7 linked regions of the Macaca fascicularis genome follow. The protein of the gene in region 7 interacts with the protein of the main gene of each other region in a pairwise test. Links are inferred from orthologs where the notes say so. Each region holds a gene or a part of one and is shown on either strand. Other genes may lie near its edges. The genes, in order: C8H8orf34, ZMAT2, RHPN1, ZC2HC1C, protein BEX2, CEP95 and MTUS2.

Region 1 (4,385 bases), on a different chromosome or scaffold from region 7:
AACAATGTCCATTTCACAGGTGGCATTTCTTCACTGGTTTTCTAACATGAAACAAGATAGGCTACATGCTAGTAAAATCCTCCAATTTTGTGAAATACATATAATTGTACTCTCAAAATCAAGCTCTATCGTAATCAAAATTGTTGCATAAGGAACTGTGTTACATCCGGCTTTTAGTAAAAGAGAATTTATTATCCATTTTTCTCCCTTCAATTATTTAAAGTGAACATCAAACCTTAAAAACGCACTCCTCACCACTGCAATCTAAGCTAATGCCAGTGTATGTTATACATATTCAATAAAATATGAAGCATGGTGGTGCTTGTTTTCTGGTGATTGGACCTAAAGCTTTTATGAGACATGTTGCTGTCACTTAAAATTCTTCAGCGCAGAACTTGCTGGTGAGTATTAAAGGGTGGGGGTTAGGGGGTACTTGATAAATATCCATTTGAGTTTATTTTCTAATTCTGTAGAAAGTTTACATATATTCCTAATTTTGTTGTTATCACTTGGAAAGAATCTTGAGGATTTTAAAATAACAAATGAAAACAGTATTTATTAAAAACAATTCGATTATTCTGTCAGGCTAATTATACTTTATACTCTACGAGTGTAGAGAGCAAACACACATTCTAAATGTATTTATTTTATGATTCTTTTGATGCAATTAATACACCGCGTTGCAGAAGGTTTATGCTTCTGCCTTTTAAAAATTATATAGGATTATGTATAATCAATAATCATTAAACTAAAGGCAAAGAAATCTGGTAGCTCCATCAATTTTATTTCGCTCTTGCATGGATTGCCTTTGTTCACATTTTTGGCAGAAAAAAGAATCAAAGCAATTGTAAGACTCTGCACCCCACAATGTGAGCTTCACTTGAAACAATGGTCCTATCGTCCAAGACAGATCATCGGTAAAGTTCGGCAGAAAAACTTGGGAGATCTTGCAAATCTTGTTATGTGAAGCCAGTCCTCCCAAAAGACCTATTCGACCACACCTTTGTCCTCCTCGTCCTTTTTTTGCAGGGTCATTAACTCGCATTATTTTTTTGTTCTCCGCAGTTCTCACTTGCTTTTCTTCAGTCTTTGCTAGGTTCTCCGCGATCTCCAATGCAGCCTCTTCCACTAGCCGCGATTCTGCCTCTCTCAGACGCTGACACGTAACCTCCCCCGATCCCCACCCCAAGCCCTCACCCAAGACCAAGAACAGCTACAACTGCTTCTGGGAGACGTGGGGGGCGGGGGCAAGGCGGGAGCACCTCGCCCCTCCCGCTAACTCTCGCCGCTGGTCAGTACCCCCTGAACTGGATGGGACCATGGGATTCTCTCCCCAAGGGCCTCCACTTCTGACCACGGACCGCACGCCCCACCCCTGCCCAGCACCCTGGCAACCCGCGGGACGCTTTACTGGTGCCAAGCTTCAATCTCTTGTTCTCATTTTCTCATGTCCTCCCGCTCTTTCTTCTACTGTATTTTTGTCAATTCTTTAATGGCGAGGAAAAAAAAAAAAAAAAAACACCAGCTCAGAGCTATAGTCTCCTTCCATAAATACGTGTGTGCTTTTCAGAACCTTTCTCTGTCCCTTTCTCCTGCTAACACATGTGGGGTCTGCAGTGCAAAGGCCTCTCCTTTCGTCCAGTGACCAATGGCAGTCTCTCAGTTTGCCAGTTTCATTCATCACGCCCGCACCTACTGAAGCCTACTCCTCACCAGTTCAGCTTTCTTCCAGTTAATCGTATTAACTGCTAAGCACCTCCTCCGCCTTTTCGGGTTTTATTACCGCCCTCATTAAAAAAAAAAAAAAAAAAGAAAAAAAAGAAAGAAAGAAAGAAAGAAAAGAAAAAGAAAAAAGAAAAAAGAAAATCCAACACGAACACGCAAGACAGCGTGAATTCAAGAAAGAAAGTGTGTATGTGCAACACCGTCTGAGTGTGTGCATCCGTATGCATCGCCTGCCTCAGCCTGCCCGGGTACTGAACATGTGGCTGAGAGGTGCACGACAGTCAGAGGGCTCAAACTTCCGCTGCCAGGCTGAGGCTGGGCCCTCCCAAGCTCACCTGTCTGTGTTCAGGTAACTGGCTAAGTGCCCGCCCGGCCGCGTTCCAGGACACCTGGCCGGGACAGAGCGAATGCCAGTGAACCCCAGGGCGCCCCCTCCCGCGCGTTCGTTCTCTAGCCCTCCTTCCCTGGGAGGGGTGGGGTGGGGGGTGTTCTGTTTTCATTACTGCACCCCTTCCCCTAAAGACAACGGGACTACCCTCCTCCACAGCGCCTTACCTCAAACAGGGGACCGATCTTGTTCTTCTCCAGGTAAGCCTGGATCCGGGTTTGCGGATGAGACGCCATGGGGAGCAGATGGGACCGCGGAGAGAGTGCGGAGAGAACGCGCGGCTGTGCGCCTCCGCTGGGGACAACCCTCCTTTTACCCGGACTGGGGCCGGGACAGGAGCTCCGGAGCCTCGGCTGCCCTGCGTGGCTGGCTTGGCCCCGGCCGCGGCCGTGAGTGGCAGCCCGGGGAGCCACGCGCGCGTGGGGCGCTGAGAGCCGGAAGCCTGGGCGCAGCGCCGCCAACTCAGACAACTCCGAGGCTAGGGGAGAACTCATTCATCGCGTTCTCCGCCTCGCGTCCACCCTCGCCGCTAGCCGCAGCGCCCGGCGCAGTGGGGAAATTCGAGGCAGAGGTTCCTTTCTCCTCTGGGCGGCAGCAGCAGGAATCAGGGGGCGGGAGGCGAGCCGTGCCGAGGGGCGCACGCGGGCGGACAGGGGACGCGGGGCTCGAACTCGCCGCCAGCGTCTGTGCGTGCGTGTGTGTGTGTCCGTGCGCGCGCGACTGTGTGTGCCTGCTCTCCCAGGTGACGGGAACAAACAGCCCGGGCTTCTTCCCGAGGCTGCTCGCTCTACCAGCCGCTCCCTAGCGACAGCGCCGCTTAAAAAGCCAATGGTGAAGGTGCTTCTTTCAAAGTGCACATAAATCTGGTGCTTGTTGGCTACTCCTTGGCAGCTACAAATGCAGTTCTAAAGGCGATCGTCCCCACCGCCCCTTCTGAGCCTCTCCTCAGCGCCTTCTGCCCTGCCTACACTAGCGCAGGGGTTGAGAAGGCCAGAGTTGTGAGAAAGTGCGTGGGTTCAAGGGTTTGCCGCGAAAAAAGAAGTTGCCTTCGTTTTCAAAATCTGGCTTGGCCTGGAGCAAGTCGACGGGTGAATGCAGCCTGAGAACCCAGCTGAAAACTCCCAAAGTGCGGGCGCTCAAAGGCTGGAACCAGCCCTTCAGCATTTGACAGGGAGAAGAGAAATGAGCGAGCCAGCCCTCCCCTCCGAAGTTGGCCTTCCTAATCCACTCCTTGAGTCATGTCTGTATACCTAAAACTGCATCTTAGACGCCACACTATCCCACTTAACAATGTTTCCTCTAGATACTGCATGAGCTGCTCGAATTTAGCCAATACCTTTCTTATTATGCAGGGATTTCAGAGTCGAAGATTTGCAGATAGCCCAGGCTTCCTCACAGCTCTCTTTCTTGTGAAACACAACACTGAGGTCCCAATGACGATTTCCCTGGCTCCTAATCATGATATGCTGCCAAAATTAGATTTATTTTTAATAAATATGATGTTCAGAATGATGGAAATAGTTTTCCTAAAAGCTGACTGCAGCAGTATATATTTTCTTTCTTTCTTTCTTCACTGTGTTCTGAATTTCTGTTACTCATAGTTTCTTTATTGGTGTTCATGCTTTCCTTCTGTATTTTAAATATGTGGAAACATGTAATAGTTAGATAATAGTGGAATATCCCAGGAACTATTGTTAATTTCCTATATTAAGATATAAGAAATCTGCTAGAATAGCTAGGAGCTTAACCATCCCTGATAACCTGAAATGGACATGATCCAGGGTGGAAAGATGTCCACATTAATACTTTTAAATTGGACTCATATGATCTGCCTAGGGAGAGTTAAATTAAACAACAGTGAGGTGCCCAGGGTTGCCTTGTGCTTTCCATTGTGGTTCGAAGGTATATTTACTTACGTATTTTTTAATATGTCCAGGATAAATTAAATAACAGAGTGAATACCAACATTTCTATTTGCTAAAAGGTATAGTGTAGAGCCATAAGGAAGGCCATCTATCACCCAGCTAAAAAGCCTACTATTTTTGATACCACATAAGGGCACCAAGATGGTACCCTTCCTGAAATCAAGAGTCTTTTTCTTCAAAGAGGCATCAGGAGGATGCTTCTTTAAATGAAATAAAGATACTTATTAAGTCTTCACCATGCTCAGACTATTGCACTTAGGGCTTTGAATAGAAGAGACAAAGCTTCAGCTGGCAAAATGTGTGCGTTTTAAAGACAGAATTAAGCCAAGTGTAGAGGCTCATGTCTG
Region 2 (4,553 bases), on a different chromosome or scaffold from region 7:
AGTGGGTTTACTAAGCAGCTCAGAGAAGTGTCACTCATTGCTATCTGTGTTGCTCTCCTGCTAGAAAACCTAACTGGAGAGAGAAGCAGTGGGGGGCAAAAGGGTGACAAGCTGTTGTGGGACCCTTCTTCCTACAGGTTACAGTCTTGGAAGAACGTGTACAATCAGGCATCCATAACAACTACAGCCTTTGCAGCTAGTCTGGAACCTCACACCCTGCTTCTTCACCATTAACAACTCCTAGGCTCTACCTAATTTCTCCCCTAGAAATCTCCTCAGTAGCACCTTCCTTCATTTCTTCCTCTGACAGATCAAATAATCCCTTTTAAAATATTAATAGTAAATCAGAATTGATAACAAGTATAATGGCAATAAAAAAATTTTTTTTTTTTTTTTTTTGAGAGAGTTTCGCTCTGTGGCTCAGGCTGGAGTGCAGTGGCGCGATCTCTGCTCACTGTAAGCTCCGCCTCCCGGGTTCACACCATTCTCCTGCCTCAGCCTCCAGAGTAGCTGGGACTACAGGCGCCCGCCACCAAGCCCAACTAATTTTTTGTATTTTTAGTAGAGACGGGGTTTCACTTGTTAGCCAGGATGGTCTCAATCTCCTGACCTCGTGATCTGCCCGCCTCGACCTCTCAAAGTGCTGGGATTACAGGCGTGGTGAGCCACCGCACCCAGCCAGCAAAAAAAAAAAAATTTAAAATATGTATTAAGTAGTAGTTGTAGTGCTACTACTAGTAGTTGCAGTGCTAGTATGATTTTTGTCTGTTTTGTTTTTTTAATTGAGACAGGGTCTCACTGTGTTGCCCAGGCTGGTCTTGAATTCCTGGGCTTAAGCAATCCTCCTGCTTTGGACTCCCAAAGTGCTGGGATTACAAGCATAAGCCACCGTGCCCAGCCAATGCTAATAATATGAAGAAGCCCACTGAGTGACCACTCCTAGAGACACTATCATGTCAACTTGAGACCTTGGGAGACACAGAAAAACAAATATAAAGATGGAATTACAGGCAAGAAGAACATAATCCTGGGGCCAAGGACCTTCCTCAATAGTTCCTAAAACCAAAATCGGTGGCTTAATAGATGCATTCTTGGCTGCAGAGAAAAATGATAAGCAACTTACCCTCCCATCTCAGATTGAGGGGTTGTCTTGGTAATGACAATTGTCTTCCCAAGCTTGGATTCCAAGTCCACCTTGTAGTCCCTATGCCGTAAAAGCTCTCGCTTGACAGGCTGCACTGGTTTTCCTGAAACATAATGGGGAAGGAAGTTCCTTCAATATTATAGCTCCTCAACCAGAAAGGAAAAAAAATGCATGAAACCCAAAATTCAGGTCTACTCTCATTTCAAAATGATTCCTGAAAGAAAGGACGCAACAGACACTTAAAGTAGCAGCTGGGGAGAATCTCAACACAGGAAAAAATCATAAGCAATCCCCAATTCTCTACAGCTTTTCTCCACTTCAAAGCCAGCCAATCCAAAAGCAGTATGTTTTATATTCATTGATTAACTGAATTGTGGGGGAGAATTTCTAAAGTGTTAGTAGAAGCAACTTTTTCAAAACAGAAGCAAGGATATTCAAGAATGCTTTCAGGCAGATACCCTAGGCATAACAGAAAGGAACCTTCTGAGAGCTGGGCAAATTTATAAAAGGTGACCAACATTTAGGAAATGCCTGTTACATGTCAAGCACTATTTATTTTACATGTTACATAAAAACTGAAAGAGTTAGTGAATGCAAGGTGGCCTGGAGGTAAAGGGAAAGAAGAATGTACACGTTTGAAACAGATGACAAAACAAGACATTTCTTTATGCAATCTCTTAACCAGGAGAGAAGCACCAAGTCCCTGACGTCCAAGGCACAGAGAAACAGCACTGCTAAGCACTAGCTGAAACAATCACAGATCCTGGAAAGTACCCCGGCTTTTCTCAGACTATATGGGAGGGTCTTGATTGGGCCAGAATGTTCTCTCCCTTAAGAAATTTCAAGGGAAAGAGGGGAGTCACTGACAGCGGTAATGCACAGTAGCAAAATACTCCACACTTCTCTGTCACTACAAAGGATTCCGTTATCTTCTCTGTACTTCAGGAAAGCATTAAACGAGCCAAGCAAAGGGTGGGCAAGGAAGCGGAGTAAAACAGAGCTGAAGAGCATCTCAAAACTACTTACTTCAGCCCACCTCCTCGCTCTCATTTTGTAAATGTAGAAACCTAGGCCGAGGGAAGCAACACTCTGCCAGAGCTTAACCGCGTGGGAAGGCAGCGCACTTCAACTCCCACCCGCTCTCCATCATCGCATCGCCTCTGTGATACCCTTAGCCCTTGATGTAGTTAGCACCCACCATCTTTCTTTTCTCTCTCTTCCGTGAGCCTCTTCTCGGCGAGTTTCTCATATTCATCTTTGTCCCACTTTCGGCGAAAGTCCAAGTTTTTTGTCTGTGGAGGGGAAAAAGCGTCAAGATCCGTCGCCGTGTCCGGACCCCTAAAGAAGCAGGGAACCGCGCCCTCGCGGTCCAGGCAGCTACAGGACCTTTTGAAAGCGAAGCCTCTTTGGACTGCATGAGAAGGCTGGGGTAGCCTCAGGACCCCCAACCCGAGAAACCTCCATGATTCCACTGACCCTTTTCCAAGGCCTATACGGGGGAGTTCTTGAACCTGGACCCTGCGATCTCGAGGAGATATCGGAAAGCCGGTCGGGTGCAGGAGTCTGTCTCTATTCAGGTCTGAAAAACCATTCCCCACCCCGCAAAACCTCCTCTTCAGACACAACACCTACCCCGCTGCCCGACGCCATCTTCACAGCGAAGTGAATGGCGAGCTGAAAAATGCCGTAAAAGGCGGCTTGGAGCCGTAAGGCAAGATGGCCCTCCAATAAGCTTGGAGTCTTGTGTTCCAAACGAGGTAAGGACTGGAGGGCTTCTAAAACAGGCTTGTTGGCCCCGCCTCTGCTCCAAGGAGACAGCGCAGGCGCAAGAGGAGTATGAAGCAACACGGAAGTAAGGGCGCCTGCAAGCGTTTTTTGCCTTGGGTTTCAAAACAAGCATTGAAGGGTCAAGATTTAGTTCAACTATTTTACAAACAAGGAAACTGAGGTTCGAAAAACTGTGGTCTCTGATCTAGTCTAACAACTTTGCGTCCACTGCCAAGAATTCGTAAACCTTTTTTAAGGCCGAAGCGCCATTAGGGGGTCTAGATGCCTCTCATTCACCTGCATGCACTAGCGATATGACCCTAAACTACACTGAAGCGTTTGCAACAGAGGTACCCTTCCCGACGCACATATAAAAAGCATGTTTTGCACTTGTGCTCTTTTCCTTGAAGCAATGCTATCACACTTTACTTCACTCATTTTTCCATCACCTGGGGAACTTTATAGTAGAACATAATTTAATCAGCATTAATTGGATTTGGAAAGGCCAGTCATCAACAACACTCTAGAGTGAAGCACTGTGGCATACCGGCTCACTATATGTTGATTTTTAGCAATAAAACTACCTCTTGGCCAGGCGCGGTGGCTCATGCTTGTAATCCCAGCACTTTGGGAGGCTGAGGTGTGGATTATGAGGTCAGGAGTTCAAGACCAGCCTGGCCAATATGGTGAAACCCTGTCTCTGCTAAAAATACAAAAATTAGCTGGCTACTTGGGAGGCTGAGGAAGGAGAATCTCTTGAACTTGGGTGGCGCAGGTTGCAGTGAGCCGAGATCACGCCACTGCACTCTAGCCTGGGTGACAGAGCAAGACTCCATCTAAAAAAAAAAAAAAAAAAAGGCCGGGCGTGGTGGCTCAAGCCTGTAATCCCAGCACTTTGGGAGGCCGAGACGGGCGGATCACAAGGTTAGGAGATCGAGACCATCCTGGCTAACACGGCGAAACCCCGTCTCTACTAAAAACACAAAAAAATTAGCCGGGCGAGGTGGCGGCGCCTGTGGTCCCAGCTACTCGGGAGGCTGAGGCAGGAGAATGGCGTGAACCCGGGAGGCGGAGCTTGCAGTGAGCTGAGATCTGGCCACTGCACTCCAGCCTGGGCGACAGAGCGAGACTCCGTCTCAAAAAAAAAACAAAAAACAAAAAACTACCTCTTGAGCAGACGGGGAAAGAGGGAGAAACTGGCTGCTCATCACTGAATACAGAAGCATCATCCCAGGGAGGTTACTCCTACCTCACACAATTCTCCAGTATACACTCAAGCATTTTCTACAGTCTATGCAAACCCAGCCCTTGATAACAATAACAAATTACCCAAACTACTACACTTAATATTTTATTTAACATGTTATCCAACCACTTCTAGAACAGCCTCCATGGCATGGCATGGAATAGTTAGAGCAGTGATTCTGGCACAGGAAATGGTCTCCAAAATCTCAAAATATCAGATCTCCACCTTGTCAAGTCATCTATTAAGTTCAATGTTCAAGATTATTAAGCATACAGCCCCACTCTTCTATTGTTAGCAATGCATGGGCTAGAGAGATGTCAAATCAACATGGGTACTGCCATGCCCTTAGGATAGCATCTGTCCTCAAACAAAGCTGAAAGCAGCCATTGCCCCTCT
Region 3 (4,037 bases), on a different chromosome or scaffold from region 7:
CTGGCGCAGGAGGCTGCCCAGGTGAGCTCGGGCACCCGTGTCAGGGTGCAGGGGGTGGGGCCGAGCTGGGGCCAGAGCCCAGGTCCAGGCAAGCGTGAGCTCTCCCGCCTCCTTCCTTGTGTGTCAGCCCCAAGCCGGCTGTTGTCCTGCTCTCTGGGGGGCTGGTCAGGAACCTGGGCGCCCAAGCCTCTGCCTCCAGGGAATGGCATGAAGCGGCAGGAACTGGGGTGCCAGGGAGGCTGCTGGGATGGTGGTCGGAGCGGGTGGAGGCTGGGTAGGGAGAGGCAGTCACCACCGGAGAGCGGGAGGCCCTCGCGTGCCTGCCATGTCCACTGGCAGGTGGCAGCCGAGTACAGACTAGTGCACCAGACCATGGCCCAGCCACCCGTCCACGACTACATGCCCGTCTCCTGGACTGCCCTGGTGCATGTCAAGGCCGAGTACTTCCGCTCCCTGGCCCACTACCACGTAGCCATGGCCCTCTGCGACGGCTCCCGTGAGTGCCCACCGCACTTGCCCATGATGCTGCAAAAGCCCCCCGCTCAGGGCTCATGGCCTCTCTGTCCCCCAGCAGCGACCGAGGGAGAGCTCCCCACACACGAGCAGGTCTTCCTCCAGCCCCCCACCTCCTGCAAGCCCCAAGGCCCTGTGCTGCCACAGGAGCTGGAGGAGCGCAGGCAGCTTGGTAAGGCGCCCATGGATGGAGGGCCCTGGGGGCTCAGGTGGTCACCAACAGTGGCAGGGTGTCCCCCACCACACTCACGCTGTTTGCCACCTGGTGTCCCCATGCTAACGAGTTGGGCCACCTACCTATCCCTGGATGCCCTGTGCCTGATGGGTGACGGTCCAGCACAGGGGCCCCAGGAGTGCTGGCAGCCTCTGAGCAGGAGGGAGACCCCTGGGAGCAGCTTGTCCCTGGCCCCTGCTCTGTATGAGGCAGAGCCCTCCTGCACAGCCAGCTCCTCACCCCTGTGGCATACGCCTACAGCAAAAGTGGCTGTGATGAGCCCCACAGCCCTGGCTTTGCCCACTCCTTCTGCCACGTCCCAGGGCCCACAGGCCCACATGGTATGTGACGTCCCAGTGCCCCGCGTACAGGCAAGGCACACCTGAAGCGCGCCATCCTGGGGCAGGAGGAGGCGCTGCGGCTGCACGCCCTGTGCCGCGTCCTGCGAGAGGTGGACCTGCTGCGGGCTGTGGTCGCCCAGACGCTGCAGCGCTCACTGGCCAAGTATGCGGAGCTTGACCGTGAGGATGACTTCTGTGAGACTGCCGAGGCCCCAGACATCCAGCGTGAGCAGCCAGGGCCTGTGTGGGTGGCTGCATCCCCGGCCAGGGTGGGGGCCTTCGTCCTGGAGAAAGGGAGGCTGATTGCCTTAAAGATGCAATCGCCACGATGAATTCAACAGCAGTAGCACTTTCCAGGCCGCAATCTCAGGCCCACAGAGCTGCCGGGCCCTTCAGGGGCCTGGGGGATGGCCACGCCCCTCAGCCCCTCCCTCCCTGCACTGGCCTACCCTGAGGGGAAGCCCACAGACCCGGGACAGGCACACCTGGGACTTCAGGGAGGGATTCTGGGAGCCACTTGTGGCAGAGGAGGCTATGTGTTCAGGGCACCTGGGGCAGCTCCCCCCGCCATTGCAGTGCGGCCAGGCCAGGAGGTCAGAGGCAGGGCCTGTGTGCGCTCGGGGTCATGCCCTGCGCCCTGGAAAATCCCCGGGGCAGGTCTCCACAGGCTCCCAGCTTAGCTCTGCTCTTCCGCCCTCTCAGCTAAGACCCACCAGAAGCCAGAGGCCAGGACGCCGCGCCTGTCCCCGGGGAAGGGGCCTGACATCTTCCATCGGCTGGTGAGCACACCCGTCCCCAGACACCCCCAGCACGGGCAGCTCGGGCTGCGTGGCTCTGACCAGCACGTGGCCTCAGGCCGTTGATGGCGGTCCAGCCCTGCCCACCCTCCTTGTGGAACCCCACGGCGTCCCTCGGTGCACAGGTTGGATGGACGTGCTGATTAGGCGGGGTCTCCTCAGTGTATGACCCAGTTGGGCCTCTGACCTCTGAGCCCCCGCCAGGGGCCCCTGTCTGTGTTCTCAGCCAAGAACCGGTGGCGGCTGGCGGGGCCCGTCCACCTGACCCGAGGAGACGGTGGCTTCGGCCTCACGCTGCGGGGAGACTCGCCTGTCCTCATCGCTGCTGTCGTTCCAGGGAGCCAGGCCGCGGTAAGGGCCCCACCGGCCCCCTGAGGCTGAGTCCCCAGTGCCAGGCAGGGTGTCCTGTCCCCGCCTCACCATCCAAGTCTCCCCACAGGCGGCCGGCCTGAAGGAGGGTGACTACATTGTGTCAGTGAACGGGCAGCCGTGCAGGTGGTGGAGACACGCAGAGGTGGTGGCGGAGCTGAAGGCTGCGGGAGAGGCGGGTGCCAGCCTGCAGGTGGTGTCAGTGCTGCCCAGCTCTAGGCTGCCCACCTTGGTGAGCCCTGGGGGCCCCGGAGGGGTGGTCCCCAGCCTGCTGTCCCCACCCTGGCCCTGGGCGTGCCCTGGATGCTTGAGCAGCATTGGGAAGGGGAGGTGGGGCTGCGGGTAACCCTCCCCGGGCCGCCTCCTGGGCAGGGGCCACCTGTGCTGTGGCCTCCATCTGAGGGCTCCTGCCCTGACCCCGAGGATGCTGAGCCCACCCCTCACTGGGCCTCTGTATCCTCAGACTGGAGGCTTCTGGGCCAGGTGCTCCATCCCAGAAGTTTCATCTACCCAGCATGGTTGAACCAGGGTTGGGTGAAACCCGTGGGGCCCCTACTATGTGGTCACCCTGATGGGAGCCCCCAAACAAGCCCCCGTGTGCCAGCCCCTTCCAGGTGGTTCTCACCCCTCCCAGACTGGCTGCAGGTGGGGACAGGCCAGCAGTGGCTGACCACAGTCTATCTCTGTCCCTGCTACAGGGGGACCGCCGACCCGCCCTGCTGGGCCCCAGGGGGCTTCTAAGCAGCCAGAGGGAGCATGGCTGCAAGACCCCGGCATCCACGTGGGCCAGCCCCCGGCCCCTCCTCAGCTGGAGCCGAAAAGCCCAGCAGGGCAAGCCTGGAGGCTGCTCCCAGCCCCGTGCCCCAGTGAAGCCAGCTCTGCCCTCATCCTCGAAGTGCCCAGGGTGGCTGTGAGGGCCAGGCTCCCTGCACACCTCAGCCCTGGCTCCAGCTGGTGGGAAGCACCAAGCATGCCCTCCCCACCCAGAGGACCTCTGGGCAATGCCTGCCCCGCCTCATGCCAGAGGCTGCCTCGGGCACCTGCCTGCCCATTAAAGACTATGGTCAGACCTGTCTGAGCCCAGTGATGGGAGCTGTGGCCTCTTCACCCACACACAGGAAGGGTGCCAGTCCCTCTGCCGGTCTGAGGTCAGCTTCCTGGGGCTGCCCCACCCTGAGGGCTCCTCACAGGAGGTGCTCCTCACAGCCATCACGTCTGTGCCCCCGGGCTCTGTCCACCCTGCTGCTGCCCTGGGCACAGACCCTGAGGTCTCAGTCCTGCCTCCGGCCAAGTTTCTGCCTGGTGCCCAGTGACTCCTGCTGGGCACCCCTTCGCTCGCTGCCCCTCCACCATGCCACCATGCAGCAGCCAGGCACACCCACAGCATCCACAGACCCCTAGGCCGGGTCCCAGACACGGCCTTCCCTGAAAATACCTCCTGTTGTCCTGTCTGTGCATAGAGCAAGGGACTCCCCACCTCTGCACCCTGTGCTGGTCACCCCGGGCCCTGTGCTGGTCATCCCAGCAAGTGTCCCCTTTGCCCAGGAGTCCCCAGTGTCGTGGCCCAGGTCTCATGGTGGCCCTAAGCCTGCCAGCCCTGCTGCCCACCTTGCTGTCCTGCTCCGACCATAGGTGCCACCCTCCAGCTCCTGAGCATGTCACCTCTCCCCGAGCCTGGGGCCTGCACGGGCCCCCAGCCCTCCCCAGCCTGCTTGCGCCGCTCCTGCGGGCCTCCACAGGCCGTGAGCTCTCAGTGTTTCAAGCAGGGGAAGTGGGGGCTGCCTCCAGGCCTCCATAGACTGG
Region 4 (4,396 bases), on a different chromosome or scaffold from region 7:
TAATTTTTTTGCATTTTTAGTAGACATGGGGTTTCACAGTGTTAGCCAGGATGGTCTCGATCTCCTGACCTCGTGATCCACCCGCCTCAGCCTCCCAAAGTGCTGGGATTACAGGCGTGAGCCACCGCGCCGGCCAACACTGAGCTAATCTTAACAGACTACATAGTTAAAGGAATGCTCACAGATTCTAGTCTTGGGAGGTGGCAGAATACATTGCAAAGAGTGAGGCGTTCTCTCCAGGTGACAAAAGCCTGCATTTTTTTTCTTTCGATTTTTTGTGTCTTTTGAATTTTCTACAGTAAACTTTTATTACTTTTATAATCCAAAGGACACAAATTCTTAGTCTAGATTTTTTAGTCATTCTAACCAAGATTTATATGCTGACTCTGCCACTTAAAGCTGTTTGTGACCTCAAGCAAGTTACTTAGCCTGTCCAAGTCTTGATTTTTGAACTGATAAAATGAGAGATAAATGCGAGGATCACATGCAAAGCTCCCATCACAATGCTGGCATACAGTAGTAATCAAGAAATGTTAATTCTAGACGTCAATTCTTCCTACATGACACATGAATTTTCCCTAAAGAAAACTGATGATGACAAAACAGACCCCTACAATGATCCCCACACCAAGTCACATCCATAAGGCTCTTGTTACCTTGGCTGAAGCTGGCCCCTTCCAGTTCAAGTATTGCTCTAGTTCTGTGCCCTTAGCCCGGGCCCTGGAGGAGTCAAACACTTTCCTCTTGGAACCCTGCATCCTGCTGCAGATGTTGGAGTGTCTCTCCAGCCTGAACAAGAGGAATTTTCGCCCACAGTGGCTGCACTCACCCAGCTGTGGCTCTTCAGTGGAGCCGCTGGAACCTGAGGAGTCTGGTGCCATGGACAGGCTGGAATTTCTGGCAGATCCCTGCAAAGCACCGCCTGGTGTTTCTGAAGGCGGGGAGAACTTCTCCATCGACGGCTCTGAGACTCGGTCTCGAATTTTGTTATTGCTTGCTACCAGCCTTTCCCTTTTGAGTCTCTGGATTCTATAATCAGAGAGCTGGAATGGACTCGAATTTTGTTGAGACCGTTCCCAAGTTTCATCCTCTCTCCTGTCTCTACTAAATTCTTCCTCAAAATCAAATTCTGGGGAGAAGACAGCTTTGTGCGTGGTGTTGCTGTTATTACCTTTAACTCTGCTCCTGGGGAATATAATTTTCTGTAGCTCTCTGTTTTCATTTTCCTTGGCCTGTTCCTTTTGCGTCTGGATCCTTCTGAGTTCCTCCTCTGTCTTCTTCAGCTTTCCTCTCAGGAGAATCTGCTTTCTTCGGATTTCCTCCTCTAAGCTCTCCCCTGCAGCTTCTAGTCTTTGGATCTGCACCCACTCCATCCTGTCCAAGTTTGCCAAGGCCTTCTCCGCCTGCATGGCAGCAAGAACAGGATCAACCACAGAAAAGTTGACCTGGTTCCTCACATCAAAGTTCCTGGATGAAAACTCTCTCAGTTCAGGGGGCCTTGGGTAGACATTCTGGTCCCCATCAGTGCCAGACTCACCTGTACTGCACGACTTCCTGTGGACCACGGGTTTCAGTGGGTACGCCCGGTCCACTCCAACTCGTTTCTTTGTAAAGGGGATAAAGTCCTGGTTATTGGCTTTGGGATACCAGGATTGAGGGCCTGATGAGTAAAACAAACCATTTCCTTGGCCCTGGAAATCACTTCCTGCATCTTGGTGGCTGATTCCAGTACAGTGGGGATAGGAGTAGCTCCGGGCTTTTGTGTTCCATTTGGGGTGAGTGTGGACTTTATCCAGAGTCAACTCTTTGTTGCTCAAAAGCTGCTTCTGGAAATTGTTCCTCAGGTGCCCCTTCAAGGACTGCTGGGAAGAGTCACTTTGTTCGTAAGAGTCTTGCTTGGCTGAGTGGGGCCCTGGAGCTTCTGTTGTATTATGTGGAAGCATAACGCCCACAGGCAGATGTGATGCCAACCGCTGGAGACCAGCCATTCAGGGCCTGGACTGATGCCTACGGGAGATTTAAACCAGATACATGCGAAGAGTTTGTCTGAGGTTCACTCTCGTCTGCTAAAGCAAACTATTTCAACATTTGCCCTGCCCACATTTCCTTAAACTTTTCTGGGGACAGTGGTGCTGGATCTGCCAAAGCTTCCCTTCAAAAACCATTTGGTGAGTGATTACTATGCACAAGACACTGTGTTAGGCCCTGAGGGTAGAGAAACGGAGGTGCTACAGGTGTTCCTGCCACCTAGCTCTCCTCTCCTCCAGCACCAGCCTCTGCCACGCACAGTATACTCTACAGTAAGTGGAAAGAGCATCGGATTGAAAGTCAGGTTTTAGGCCTGTAACAGGACAAGCGACTTCTCCCTTGCTGGCCCCCGTTTCTTCACCTGTAAACTGAAGGGTTCCGTCCGAGTCCATCCTCACCATTTTACAGGTGAGCAAGCTGTGGCCCAGAGGTAGTGACTGGCACAAAGAGCTCTCAGGGCTTCCCTCCTGCTGGAACCGTGCTTGATTCAAAAGAGCACAGAGGCTGCTAGGGCCTGGAGCAGGTGCCTGGCTGTCAAACCCTCATCCCAGGAGTCCCCGTGGCGCAGACGGTAAAAGTTTTGTAACCTGAGCGTTGAGGGCCACCTGACCTGGCTGCAGCCGGTTTTAGATCCTTAAGGCTGAAGTCACGTTCTGTCCCGAAGGGTCAACTGGGGCGCCCCCACTACGGACTCCGCCTCTGGGGACAAGTCCTCTCTCTCTCCTGCCCTTCGGGCCCTTAGGAGGTGCTGACCCTCTGTCTCCCCGCCCTTCTGCGTACCTGAGGCCCTCGGGCACCGCTCCTGCTCAGGGGAAACCCCAGGGCCTAGTTTCCCAGACCCGACCTCCCCCTCAACCGACGGCCGCGCAGGCGCTCTCAGCTAGCTTCTGTTATTCCCGGTGCCTGGAGACCGAGTTACTGGCGGGCCAAGCTCCGCCCCTCGCTGCGAACTCCTTGGGGAGGCGTGCGCAGGCGCAGTGCACCAGCGACCCGGGGCGACCGGGGGTGGGGGGTGCGGTCAGCCCGACCGTCACTTGACCCAGTCAGTGTCCGGCCAACTCTGCAGCCGGGTACAGCCCTGCCCTTGGGGAGCCGAGGAAGGGCGGGAGAGGCTTTTCTGGGGCTCCATCAAAGAAGAACTTGTACTTTCCTGAGAACGATGCTCCCAGACCTTGGGGTGTGCCCTTCACTGGCAAAGGGCGGAGGCCCTGGCTGTGCCTCCGCGTGCTTCCGCCGCAGGGTGCAGGCGACCGCCTGCCTGGTGGGAGCGGGGCTGCTGCTGACCTTTCTCGGCGCGCTTGGCTGCGCTGGGCGGGCCCCAGGTATGGCTGCACGTGCGCGCTCCCTGCTTGTCGTCGCCAAGTCTTTGGAACTTGCTGCCAACGTTTTTGCTACGCAGTATCTTTCCGGGGTAATTTTTGTGGCCAATCTAATTATTTTGATATTATAATGTTTTACTCTCACGTGGTAACTCTAGCCGTCTGTACTTAGGGCGTAGGAATGACTCAGCCAAGTGTAATGATAATAAAGAACTACCAGATCGAAAATAATCAGTATAACCTGGTTTCAACAGTAAATGATACTCTGTAACTTGTTGACATCAAAAGAAAGTTTATTTTTTTTTCTTCGCTTCAGTTCATCTGTGTAGGACGTTGGGAACAGGCAGTTCGCTTTTTCCCTGTAACTACTCAATTCATGCACTTGGAAAATAATGTAGACAAGCAGTCATCAGTGTTAATACTTCAACATGTCATATTACAGCTGTTACCTGTTACAAAGAAATTCCTTGGTGGACCCTCCAGGTCAGTCCTTCTTTTTTTTTCTTTTCTTTTTCTTTTCTTTTCTTTTTTTTTTAATTCCTCGTTTTCATCCCTTGTTGCCTGCACCACCTCTACATATATGCAGCTCCAGATGTTTCCCACTCTACTCAGGGTCCCAATTATCAACTCCCGCAGCTTCCCTCAGCAGGATGTACCGGCTTTCTTTCTCTCTCTCTCTCCTCTTCCTTCTCTCCCTTTCTTCTCTGTCTCTGTCTGTCTCTGTCTCTGTCTGTCTCTCTCCCTCTCTCCTTCCCTCTCCTCTATGAGAAAGAAGGGCCACTTTCCATGAGTTCTCTTGAATTAGTGCTTTTCAGTACCCTCCGGGAATTGACTCCATCACTTTACCCCAGCGTTTTGTTTTTGTTTTCTGTTTTGTTGGTTTTGAGGGTTTTTTAAAATTTGTTTGTTTTTTGAGACAGAATCTCACCCTGTTGCCCAGGCTGGAGTGCAGTGGCGCAATCTCAGCTCACTGCCACCTCCGCCTCCTGGGTTCAAGTGATTCTCCTGCCTCAGCCTCCCGAGTAGCTGAGATTACAGGCGTCTGCCAC
Region 5 (3,858 bases), on a different chromosome or scaffold from region 7:
GGGACAGAACTACCTGTAAGGAAAGAACTAGACAATGTTTTTCCATGAAACAAAGCAGGGAGAGGGGATTTGTTCACTCTTTTGTAGAGTAGAGCAAGGATTCAATCCACTGGAAATTCCAGAGAAATTGGTGGGACTTTCTCACTTTGAGGATTCCTGAACATCTGCAGTGGAAGGAGCCAGTGTAGGGAGCAAAACCTAGAAAACAGAGTAATACCCAGGGGAGATGATGAGAATAGAGCACAGCAGCAGAGGAATGAAAGTACCTACTCCTTAGCCCACTGGACTTGTGAATATAGGGAAGACCTCACCTTGGAGATTTCCTCTAATAACAGAAGGGAATATCTAAAGGGTTGGGTCATGCATGTCAGTAAGAACAAGAACTTGGGAGAAAGCTTACAACCTCATTACCTTTTCTGGTCCATACAATAAGCCTGGGAGGTGATTGTCTTCATCTTACTGATAAATATTATGATCTTCAAAGAGATGTGTCTCTCAAACATTTCTAAAAAGAGATCCCAGAAGCAAGTTAAAATTGAGATTCTGTCACAAGTGTTTATTAAGTGCTCACATTGCTTTTATAAGGTGGTCACATTGCTTTTTATAAGTAATACGTGTTCCATTTTAAAAAATAAGAAATTATGGATACGCAAGAATAAACTCCCTCTTAATTCTACCACAAAGATAAACACGATTTTCTATATATGTGTATATATGTGTACATATATGACTGTTTATGTTCATATTTAAGATTTAAAGTAAAAAAGAATGCAGAGAATGGTTTTTAAAACTGTTTTATTAACTTCACAATATATAATGAGCATCTTTCCATGCAGTAGGTAAAACTCCCCTGCTGACAGAAACTTACAAACTGGGTCAAAACAACATTCAGTTTGAAGCTGGTAATAGGAGACCCACAAGAAATAGGTAACATCAAAAGGTTTACGACAAAGGTACACCACAAATGTGTAAGTTTAGGAAGCTGGGGTCTCCCTATTAACTTCAGGGAAACCATCAGGATTCAGGGCATAAGGCAAAACTCATCGTGATGGTCATGGTGAGGGGGGTCAGTGCTGACTGCCCGCAGACTATGACTCAACTGTTTTTCCCTCAGCTTTTCCATCAGCTGTCTCACCTCCTCCCCAATCCTTTCCATATTCTCCTCTCTCATCCTTGCCTGTGGCTCTCCAAGCCTATGCATTATGTCCCATCTATACTGCAGGGTGGGCTGCCTAACACGGAACCGCCTACGATTTCCTCTAGGCACACAGTATTCATCAACATTCAAAGGGAGGGCCAAGGGCTCCCCTTTATTAGCAACTTGCTCCTTTTCATCTTTTTCATCATTTTCCTGGTTGACATTTTCCACGTTGAGATTGTTTAACGCTCGTTCCTCTTTGGACTCCATTACTCCTATGAGACAGAGAGAAAACGGACTCAATTCTTGGTGAACTGATCAGCACCGAGGACAGAGGCCCGACTACCCACCTTTCAAAATTCAGAGCCCTGGATTTCAAAGGCCTTTTTTAAATTTCATTTTTTTTCCCATCAGAGAGGCCCCGTGTACCCTCGGGGTGGGGGGGGGCAGTCCGCGCCCCTCTCTCCCGCAAAGCCCACCATCTTCTCTGCAGATCCATCTCCAGGCCTCTGCAGGCGCCAAAATGGAGGACGAAGAAGGGGTGGGGGTGGGGGATTGCGAAGCGTAGCAGTGAAGGCACCGACTGGGGTCCCAGACTGGGCTTTCGTCATGTTCTGACCCCCGCCCCGCCACCGTCCCTCGCACCGACCTGGGCCTATCCTTGCAGTCTCCTCCTCCTCCCGATTCTCGACGTGAGGTGCGTCGCCTCGACACTTAGCCTCGCAGACCTGCAGACGGCCGGGGTGGGAAGAGTGGAGGCTGCTGCAGCGGAACACTAGCGAGGACCCGCCGCCACCCGGCCCCTTCCCCGCGCCGGGCCCGGGCCCTCCTCGCCGCCCTCTCCCCGCGCCTCAGCCGCCCCGCCCCCCAAGCTGACCACCATTTTCTGCATCAAGAAGGGCGGAGCAGGGATCTCAGAAAAGATTGCGCTGGTGGCGGAGGCAGGTGCTTCAGAAGGGCCGTAGCCTCAGGACCGCAGCCTCAGGACCGCCGGCTCCCGCGGGGCCAGGCACTCCTCCGCTCACTAAAGGCTAGCGGTCCCGCGGCGGGGCCCCGGGGCTGCATCGTGCACCGGCTGCGTCTCAGCGCGGCTCCTCGGGGGTGGGGCATCCGCAGGCCGGGGCCGCTCCCCCACACCAACCCCAGGGACCCCCTCCGTCTCCCTTACCTGCTCCCCCTCCGCTTCCTGCTTTCGGGGCCGCACCTGGCCCGCACGTCCTCAGGGCCACCGGGAACAGGTACCACAGCCGAGAAAGGAGCGAGCGACGGCGGCTCCGACGCCAGAGCGAGGCAAGACTCAGTGTTGGCCGATCACGTGGGGCTGTTGTCATCGCCAGCGGCTCCGCCCCCGTCCCACGCTCCCTCCTGCAGCCTGGAGTCAGGTGGGACTTTCGGGCCCGCCCCCATCCTCACCGTGAGTCCCTTTTAACATCCCCAGCCTGGGCTCTGCCACTCTCCCTTCTCTTGTGTATTCTTGAGACTTCCCTTGCCTGCCCAGGAAGGACGGAAGGCATCTTCTCAGGGAGCTGTTGGCCATTCCCACTTCTCTGGGGACTTGCCTCTCTCTGCCCTTGGCTCCCAGGATTCACCTCCTTCTGCCTGTTAATTAATTTTTGACAAAGATGTCAAAGTAATTCGATATGGAAAGTATAGTCTTTTAAACAAATGGTGCTGAAATAACAGAATTCTTAAAGGAAAAACAGGAGCCTTGCCTTTTATCTATACTATACACAAATTAATTCAAAATGGTCATAAACCTAAATGTAAAAACTCAAATTAGAAAACTTCTAGAATAAAACATAGAGAAAAACTTTATAATCTTTGAGAAAACAATCCCTTAGGACAGAAAAAGAACAGATCACAAAAAAAAAAATGAGAAATTGGATTTATCAAAATTAAAAACTACCATTTAAACCACATGGTTAAGAAAATGAAGTGAGAAGCTGGGAGTAAATATTCACAATATGTGTATCTGACAGTGGGTTTGAATTCAGAGCATATATAAAGAACTTCGAAAACTCAAGAAGGCAAATAATAGATTTGAATAAACATTTCACAAAACTACATACACAAATTACCAACGAGCTCATGAAAAGATGCTCAACCTCATTAACTATCAGGGAAATGTAAAATAAAGCCAGAATGAAAAACCACTGCACACCCATTATAATTGCTGAACTTAAAATGTCTGACAGTCCCAAGCACTTTTGAAAATAGTAACAATAGAAACTCTCATTGATTGTTGGTGAGGGGTTCAACCACTCCAAGACTTGGTGGCAGTTTCTTAAAAAGTTAAACTTAGGCTTACCATATGTCCTAGAAATTCCACTTTTTGGAATTTTCCCAACAGATTTTAAAACATATTTTCTCAAAAATATTGGCATAGGAAAGTTCATAGAAATTTCCTTTATGATAGCCCCAAAGTTGATAAAAATCTAAATGTCCAACAAGTGAACTGATAAACAAATTGTGATGTATTCATACATTTTAAAGCTGCTAAGCAATAAAAAAGTGACAAGCTACTGATACAAACAGTAACATAGATGAATCTTAAAAAAATGAAAAAAAAAATTGTATCTATAAAGACACCAGCCACAATTGTTTTCTGCATGATTGCATTTATATAAGTTCTAAAACAGGCAAAACTAATCTGTACTGATATAAGTTGAATCAAATCAGTTTTTGCCTGGCTTGAAAGTTGGGGTTTTTCTGATTGCAAA
Region 6 (3,789 bases), on a different chromosome or scaffold from region 7:
AAATTTAGAAAACACAGCGTGGAAAAGAAAATAACCATCCATGCATATTCCCATTATCCAGCATGAACCACTGTTCATACCATACTGGCTTATTTGCTTCAATTGCAGTGAGCTGAGATCATGCCACTGCACTCCAGCCAGGGTGACAGAGTGAGACTTCATCTCAAAGAAAGAAAGAAAGAAAACCCTTTTTATTTAGTCATCCTGTCCCTATCTTTTTAAAATTAACAGGACTGGGTTCGGTGGCTCACACCCGTAATCCCAGCACTTTGGGAGGCTCACGTGAGCACCAGAGTTGGAGACCATCCTGGGAAACATAGTGAGACCTTGTCTCTACTAAAAATAGAAAATTAGCCTGGAGTGGTGGTGCATGCCTGTGATCTTAGCTACTTGGTAGGCTGAGGCAGGAATTCCTTGAGCCCAGGAACTGCAGTGAGCTGTGACCACACCACTGCATTCTAGCCTGGGCAGCAGAGCAAGACGCTGTCTCAAAAAGAAAAAAATAAAATAAGAAAACAACAGGCAGGTATATACACAAGGTAGACATATAAACAGTGATACGTTCTCATTATTTAAACATTCAAGCAATGCATTAAAAGTACAGAGATGAAATAAGCATTATTAACATTAGGTGACCACATTCTCAACATTCTATGCATCTAAAAAGTAGAGTGGATAAAAGAGGGGTTAAAATGGAGTCATAAGATAATGTTTACTTTTCGGAGAATCATAGTGGGAGTTTTGGAGATGGTTCTGAGCTGGTAATATTCTGTTTCTTGACCTGGGTGGCAGTTAAATAGGAGTATTTATTTTGAAATAATTAAGCTAGAAATACTGTATTTTAAAAGTTTCATAAAAATAAAATTATGTTGTTTGTTTTATTTTTTTTTGAGACAGAGTGTCGCTCTGTCGCCCAGGCTGGAGTGTAGTGGTGTAATCTGCACCCACTGCAACCTCTACTTCCCAGGTTCAAGCAGTTCTCCTGCCTCAGCCTCCCGAGTAGCTGGGACTACAGGTGCACATGCCACCACACCTGGCTGATTTTTTTTTTTTTTTTTTTTTTTTTTTAGTAGAGACAGGGTTTTGCCATGTTGGCCAGGCTGGTCTCAAACTCCTGGCCTCATCCGCCTGCCTGTGCCTCCCAGAGTGCTGAGATTATAGGCATGAACCACCACACCCAGCTTACTAAAAGGTATTTAATTTTACTCTAATAGAAAAAGATAATGAAGTTGAAATTAAAGATATCAGTAAACATTAAATAAGTGGCCAGGTGCAGTGGCTCACGCCTGTAATCCCAGCACTTTGGGAGGCTGAGGTGGGTGGATCACGAGGTCAGGAGTTCAAGACCAGCCTGGCCAAGATGGTGAAACCCTATCTCTACTGAAAATACAAAAATTAGCCAAGCACAGTGGCCGGCGCCTGTAATGCCAGCTACTGTGGAGGCTGAGGCAGAAGAATCGCTTGAACCCAGGAGGTGGAGGTTGCAGCGAGCCGAGATCGCACCACTGCACTCCAGCCTGGGTGACAGAGTGAGACTCCATCTCAAAAACAAACAAACCAAAAAAAACATTAAATAAATGTTTCTTCATCACAAGAAGTATCTTCTAAAAGATGATCTCTAAGACTAAGAAATAAATTTAGCTGGACACGGTAGCTCATGCATGTAATCCCAGCACTTTGGAAGGCTGAGGCAGGTGGATCACCTGAGGTCGGGAGTTCGAGACCAGCCTGGCCAATATGTGAAACACTGTCTTTACTAAAAGTAAAAAAAAAATTAGCCGGGTGTTGTGGCACATGCCTGTAATCCCAGCTACTAGGGAGGCTGAGGCAGGAGAATCACTTGAACCTGGGAGGCAGATCGAGCCTTTGCACTCCAGCCTAGGCAACAGAACAAAACTCAAAAAAAAAAAAAAAAAAAATTTAAAATGTTAAGGGTTTATATTCATATTTTGGGAGGTATTGTCTTTGTTTTAACTGTTTCAATTTTGGACAGCCTTTATTGACGTCAATACAAAAGATAACCACTTGAATACTCTGTACTAGTGGTAATTTTTTTGTTGCCCAGGCATAGTGGTAATCCCTGAAATTTCTTATTTAGAGAACACCTGGCCTGTCTTTTTATTTGAATGGCATCCTGAGCCACACTTTTTCTCTGAGCCCAGATTTCTAGACATTGCTCCAGTTCTTTGGTGCATTGAGTGTCAATAGGGTCTTTTGACAAATGCACTTCAAAACGGAGGTTGAAGGCACGTAGCTTTGTGCCACAGTTCCTCCCTTCCTCACCCCCAGAAAGTTCATGTTTCTTATTTGTAGCTTTTTCAAATCAACTTTTTTTCTGTTTTTAATAGGATCTAGATGACAGAGTTTTCTTAACTTCCAAGTTGCCGAAAGACAGCAAAGAGGAAGTGTACCCAGCTCAGGTCCAAGGGCCTAGGACAAGGAAGCCTCCCAAAGGAAAAAGGTAACATTACTGCAGACTTAAGTGTTTACAGTCTGTTTGCAAAGAAATTTGAAAATGCAGGGGCATAATCTCCAAATTTAGCTGTGAAGACCAGAATGAAATATTTGTTAAAGTATGTATTACAGTTATTTTAAACTAAATAATAGACACCTAGCTATTTTAACTGTCAGATGGTCACTTAATTACAGAAATGAAAACAGAGCTACAGCCTCATCCTGCAATTCACCTTTTCCCCAGAGGCCAAGAAAGAGATTAACAGAACAAGAATTACATGATGTGTCAGAGAAACTCTCTCAGCGGCTCTCTGAACTAGATTGGGCAAGTCTTGTTTTTTCATCTATATTGAGATTCCCATGGCTTAAGTGAACATTTAAATAATCTCTCAGTTGAAAGTGAGGTATTAGAAATATAGTTGTGTCTTATTAATAGTTACTGTGAAAATGTTCTGTAAATCAAGCAGACGGAACAGGAAGTGATCTCTCAGCCTTTCATGATCTAACTAAATTTAGTGCAGATTTATCCAAATTTTACTGAATTTTGATGAAAACTAAATCATTTAACATAAATGATTGTGTTAAGCCATTTTTCTTTAGATATATCTATATAGTTCCCCTTTGCTGCAAAAGACAGGTCTGGTATGAAATTGGATGGATCACTGATTCTCACAAAATACAGTATTACAGTTTTAAGGTATCATTGAATGAATGTTTTAAATCCCTATGTGACTTAGTCAAAACTTTATTGAAACTTGGTGATCCATAGCACTGATCTACACCTTTTTAAAACTAAACATGTATGCCAGGTGTGGTGGCTCACACCTGCAATTCCAGCACTTTGAGAGGCTGAGGCAGGCGGATCGCTTAAGCCCAGGAGTTTGAGACCAGCCCGGGCAACATGGTGAAACCCTATCTCTACAAAAAGTAAAAAATTAGCTGGGCTTGGTGGCATATGCCTGTAATCCCAGCTACTCAAGTGGCTGAGATGGGGGATCACTTGAACCCAGCAGGCGGAGGTTGCAGTGAGCCCAGCTAGCACCACTGCACTCCAGCCTGGGTGACAGAACGGGATCCTGTCTCAAAAGTGAATAATTAAACATGCATAAGCATCTGAAAACTTGTTATTAGTGACTGTCAAAGGAAGCTTTTTTAAAGGTCTGCCTACTCCTGCGAATTTACATTCTGGTGAAGTCAGTGAAAGATGTTGAAAAAAGTTTTCTCAATAGATGTTAAAAAGTGCCCTGGGTGATCGGATTAAAGAAAAGACTGACCATAAAGAAGAACATACTGGAAATGAAGAGGTAGAGGATGGAACTGAGGAGACACTGTCTC
Region 7 (3,789 bases):
TGAGCCCCTGTGAACGGGATTAATACCCTTATAAAAAGGGCCCCAGGGAGATCCCTGGCCCCTTCTGCCTTGTGAGGACCCGAAGCACTGGGCCAGGACTCCTAGCTCCATCTCCGCATCTGTAAAGCGGCTGGGGGCGGCAGCTCCTCCACAGGCAGCTGTAGTAGTTAGGAGCAGGCTCGGGGAAAGTGCTCCGTGCAGTGCCTGGGCACTGGGGATGCTGCATTGTGCTGGGTCACCACACGTCCCCAAGAGAGGGCAAGGAGACAGCAGGACTGTGGGAAAACCAGCGCAAAGCAGAAAGAGGCCACCCATCAGAAAGGCTCCAGAGTTGGACAAGATAAGGCCACCTCCAAGATTCCTTATGAGAGCTCCTGGCTTCCTGGGAAAGGCCCGCGGTGGGATTTTCTGCATAGGTGTAAGCAATGGGCAGGTAACAGACACACCTGGCTGAACACCTCAGTGTCAACGATGACCTCAGTGATGACAGCAGGAATGTCATGGAGGTTAGTTACTCTCGCGAGCAAATGGACCAACTCACCAGCTTTTCCAGCTCGAGAATCTTCTTTTCCTGCTCATGTATTTGCTGATTCTTCATCTCTAATACCTGCTTCAGACTCTTCATGTCTTCTTCCAAGTGCTGATAAGGAGCCAATGCAATCTACAGGGGCAGAGAGCCATGAGCTGTTGACCAGGGCTCCCGACAAAACCCAGTATTAACCAATACCACGAATCCAGCTAAATCCATCCTCCTGGGACAAGTGCCCTGATGGCAACTGCGACACCAAAGAGAGAGGATGCTACAGCCTTCCCTGATAAAGTTTCCCACTGAGAAGCCTCCTAAAATCCAGTTCTGTGGGGGAGCAGGTGAGACACGGCCATCGTCCACTGGAAAGTCTGACTCCAGAACTGCTGGGTGCTGCCAGCCTATGCCCAGCAGGGAGCTCATGGGGTAGAAAGAGTAAACCCAACACTGGCTTTTAACATTCACCCGGAAGACTTGATTCACGAGGTAGCTGGGACTCTTACAGGTCTCACCTATGCCCGTAAAGAGCCCATGCATAGGAAATGAGTCAAGTGGTTTAAGAAGCAGAAAAGCCATTTTAGACAAAAGTCACGTTGGGGTAGTGCTGCTGGATGTAACAAATTAAAATACAGTAGGTCCTGTTAAATCCAAATTCAGATAAATGACATTTTAAAAAATTCAGTATAAGTATTGCATGGGACAGACTTACACTCAAAAATTTATCTGTAATTCAAATTTAACTGGGTGTCCTGTATTTTATTTGGCAACCCTACATTAGAGGGAAGGAACTTTGCCAGCTTTTCTGGAAAAAATTCCCCTCAACCTGTTAACGCATGCTGCAGCCAAGGCTGCCCCACGTCAGCCTAAAAAGTTGCGGGAGAACGGGCTGGAAGGGGTGGCCGGGCCGGGGGAACGGGCTGGAAGGGGTGGCCGGGCCGGGAGAATGGGCTGGAAGGGGTGGCCGGGCCAGGGTGGGGGTTTCCAGACCATGCTTATCACAGGAGCCCTGGGACTCCAGCTGGGGAATGCTGCGGAATTTGGCAAAAATAACACGTCGCTGGAGAAACCCACAGCTGCTGTCTGTCTCAGGGGAGAGGTGCTGACAGCAATTGTTTAAAAATCCAGGGGAGGCCGTGACCAGCTGTCACTTCAGCAGTGGATTCACAGAGAGGCCTTGTCTCGGGACTGGACTGCTGAGGGAGCCCCGCTGGCCTCGCTGGGGCGGGGTCCCTGCGGGGCTGGAAGCCTGGAAAACTACCTCCAGCTGCTCCTCTGTGTTCCTCCTCAAGGCCTCTTCGAAGCGGCGGGCTCTGTCCCGCAGAGACTGGCTCTGGAAGGTCAGCGTGTCCACCTGGTCCTGCAAGTAATGATACAAGGAGTCCAGCTGGGGCCACTACAGACAGCAGCCACCACAGCCTGGGCAGCTGTGATCAGTGGGCCACCACTGTGCCCTGAGCACCCTCAGAGCGTTTCCCTGGGGGCTGGAGAAAGAGGTGCCAAAGGGGAACCCCCACAGCCACACGATGGAGGAGGGTGTCCCCCCGCGTCTGCCCTCGGCTCACTCCTCCTTGGTGCTCTGTCAGGAAGAGACCACAAAAGCACAGTGAGCCGGGGGCGTTTCACAACCTCTGATCCCACAGAGGCAGACAATCCTCAGAGAGAATCCTCAGAGGCGCCTCTTGTCCAGGAGGCACCCAGCCCCTGGCTTTGGGAAGGACCACGATGAACGTATTTCAAAGATGTATTCTCATTTAGGAAGCTCAATCCAGAACCCTTCAAGCCCTCCTTGACTTCCTTCTCTCCCTTGGGACCCCTCCCACATCACCAAACCTTCTCATCACGAAGTCCATAATCAAGTCCTGCCATCCTGAATGTCCCTAGAACCCACAGACTCCCCTGAGCTCCGGCCACTCTGCTGGCTACTTTCTGAGACGATTCCTGTTTTTTTCTGAATGATCACTCCTTTGCCCTCACACTACATGTAGTGAGGCACTCTTTCTAACGTGCAAACCGGAACCTGTCCTTCTCCTCTCTCCTACCCCACTGCCCTCAAGCTGCAGTGCACGCTCCCTAACACAGCGTCCTCCCAGCCTCGCTGCCTCCCTTTCCTCTTGTGCCAGCTCTCCTGCTGCCAGTGCCTTCCTCCAGCCAGCTCCCTCTCACTCCCGCTTCACTCTGGCTCCCACACAGCCTTCCCGGCCTCAGGACTGGGTTGCATGTCCTTGATAGGAGCTGCCACGTAAGCCAACTCCACACAGTCTCCTCCTCCCTGCTCAGACCCGCCCCGTGGCCAGACTGGCGCTCCCAGCCCTTAGCCTTCCCATGCCTGCCAGTTAGGCAGGCCGCTGGCCACTCTCCACCTGCAGGTTGAAGGAATATAAGGGTGTCTATGGAGACACTGCACCCCTTCCCCAGCTCCCAGCGCAGATGCACCTGCACTGACCCTGCCCCACTCAGCTCCCGCCATGACTCTCAGGACCACAGGCTGGCAAAGGACCGCTGATGCCCAAGGAGAGCTTCACCCTTCATGTCTCACTCATGCAGACCAGTCCAAAGCTCTTTGCCCAGCACCATTTCTATAATATCAAAACACAGAAACTAGGCTCTCCCATTAACTCTTCTAAAAAAGTATACAGATATACAGATACACACACACACAAAAAAAGAGAGAAGGAGAGAGAAAGAGAGAGAGAGAGAGACAGGGTCTCACTCTGTTGCCCAGGCTGGAGTGCAATGGTACGATCTCGGCTCACTGGAACCTCCACCTCCCAGGCTCAAGGGATCCAAGGGATCCTCCCATCTCAGCCTCCCAAGTAGCTGGGACTACAGGTGCGCACCAGCACACCCAGCTAATGTTTGTATTTTTAGTAGAGACAGGGTTTCGCCATGTTGCCCAGGCTGATCTTGAACTCCTGACCTCAAGTGATCCACCCGCCTCAGCCTCCCAGAGTGTTGGGATTACAGGCGTGAGCCACCGTGCCCAGCCTCCCGTGGACTGTTCTGGCAAGAGAAATGGCCTCATCCGCCAAATAATGGGAGGCGATATTGTGAATGCTAGTAAGTGTACACAGTGACACTAACATGGGAAGCACTGGCTTGACTGCTTGCTTTCTTATGGTGGACGACCCTGGTCTGCAAGCTCCCTGAGTAGGTTCCTTTTCCTCTTTTTTTGTTCTCTTTTCCAGTTACTTCTTTTTTTTTTTTTTTTTTTTTGAGATAGAGACTCACGCTGTCACCCAGGCTGGAGTGCAGTAGCTTGATAT

Evidence for each region.
Region 1: the proteins of MTUS2 (region 7) and C8H8orf34 interact in a two-hybrid assay, tested with the Homo sapiens proteins (2 studies listed by BioGRID). The two-hybrid records come from large-scale screens. The link is inferred for Macaca fascicularis from reciprocal best matches to the Homo sapiens genes MTUS2 and C8orf34.
Region 2: the proteins of MTUS2 (region 7) and ZMAT2 interact in binary tests that used the Homo sapiens proteins (3 or more experiments, as listed by UniProt). The two-hybrid records come from large-scale screens. The link is inferred for Macaca fascicularis from reciprocal best matches to the Homo sapiens genes MTUS2 and ZMAT2.
Region 3: the proteins of MTUS2 (region 7) and RHPN1 interact in binary tests that used the Homo sapiens proteins (3 or more experiments, as listed by UniProt). The two-hybrid records come from large-scale screens. The link is inferred for Macaca fascicularis from reciprocal best matches to the Homo sapiens genes MTUS2 and RHPN1.
Region 4: the proteins of MTUS2 (region 7) and ZC2HC1C interact in binary tests that used the Homo sapiens proteins (3 or more experiments, as listed by UniProt). The two-hybrid records come from large-scale screens. The link is inferred for Macaca fascicularis from reciprocal best matches to the Homo sapiens genes MTUS2 and ZC2HC1C.
Region 5: the proteins of MTUS2 (region 7) and protein BEX2 interact in binary tests that used the Homo sapiens proteins (3 or more experiments, as listed by UniProt). The link is inferred for Macaca fascicularis from reciprocal best matches to the Homo sapiens genes MTUS2 and BEX2.
Region 6: the proteins of MTUS2 (region 7) and CEP95 interact in binary tests that used the Homo sapiens proteins (3 or more experiments, as listed by UniProt). The two-hybrid records come from large-scale screens. The link is inferred for Macaca fascicularis from reciprocal best matches to the Homo sapiens genes MTUS2 and CEP95.

The regions. Positions count from the first base shown.
Region 1 is NC_088382.1:78,285,552-78,289,936, reverse strand, and holds the start of C8H8orf34 (uncharacterized protein C8orf34 homolog), read right to left. Parts: upstream 2,876-4,385; 5' UTR 2,608-2,875; coding exon 2,281-2,607; exon of another isoform or gene 2,171-2,280; intron 1-2,170.
Region 2 is NC_088380.1:147,174,690-147,179,242, reverse strand, and holds the start of ZMAT2 (zinc finger matrin-type protein 2), read right to left. Parts: upstream 2,809-4,553; 5' UTR 2,795-2,808; coding exon 2,777-2,794; intron 2,437-2,776; coding exon 2,343-2,436; intron 1,248-2,342; coding exon 1,124-1,247; intron 1-1,123. UniProt on the Homo sapiens protein: Involved in pre-mRNA splicing as a component of the spliceosome.
Region 3 is NC_088382.1:153,043,036-153,047,072, forward strand, and holds the end of RHPN1 (rhophilin-1), read left to right. Parts: coding exon 1-21; intron 22-339; coding exon 340-685; exon of another isoform or gene 686-1,098; coding exon 1,099-1,293; exon of another isoform or gene 1,294-1,337; intron 1,338-1,770; coding exon 1,771-1,847; intron 1,848-2,069; coding exon 2,070-2,216; intron 2,217-2,304; coding exon 2,305-2,466; intron 2,467-2,932; coding exon 2,933-3,148; 3' UTR 3,149-3,307; downstream 3,308-4,037. UniProt on the Homo sapiens protein: Has no enzymatic activity. May serve as a target for Rho, and interact with some cytoskeletal component upon Rho binding or relay a Rho signal to other molecules.
Region 4 is NC_088381.1:143,017,944-143,022,339, reverse strand, and holds the start of ZC2HC1C (zinc finger C2HC domain-containing protein 1C), read right to left. Parts: upstream 2,918-4,396; 5' UTR 1,989-2,917; coding exon 657-1,988; intron 1-656. Other genes in the region: ACYP1 (acylphosphatase-1), read left to right, coding at 3,188-3,439, 3,664-3,830.
Region 5 is NC_088395.1:109,688,180-109,692,037, forward strand, and holds protein BEX2, read right to left. Parts: upstream 2,438-3,858; 5' UTR 2,031-2,437; coding exon 2,016-2,030; intron 1,867-2,015; coding exon 1,788-1,866; intron 1,414-1,787; coding exon 1,022-1,413; 3' UTR 779-1,021; downstream 1-778. UniProt on the Homo sapiens protein: Regulator of mitochondrial apoptosis and G1 cell cycle in breast cancer.
Region 6 is NC_088390.1:71,116,041-71,119,829, forward strand, and holds part of CEP95 (centrosomal protein of 95 kDa), read left to right. Parts: intron 1-2,348; coding exon 2,349-2,461; intron 2,462-2,649; coding exon 2,650-2,779; intron 2,780-3,683; coding exon 3,684-3,789.
Region 7 is NC_088391.1:9,331,414-9,335,202, reverse strand, and holds part of MTUS2 (microtubule-associated tumor suppressor candidate 2), read right to left. Parts: intron 1,884-3,789; coding exon 1,785-1,883; intron 662-1,784; coding exon 542-661; intron 1-541. UniProt on the Homo sapiens protein: Binds microtubules. Together with MAPRE1 may target the microtubule depolymerase KIF2C to the plus-end of microtubules. May regulate the dynamics of microtubules at their growing distal tip.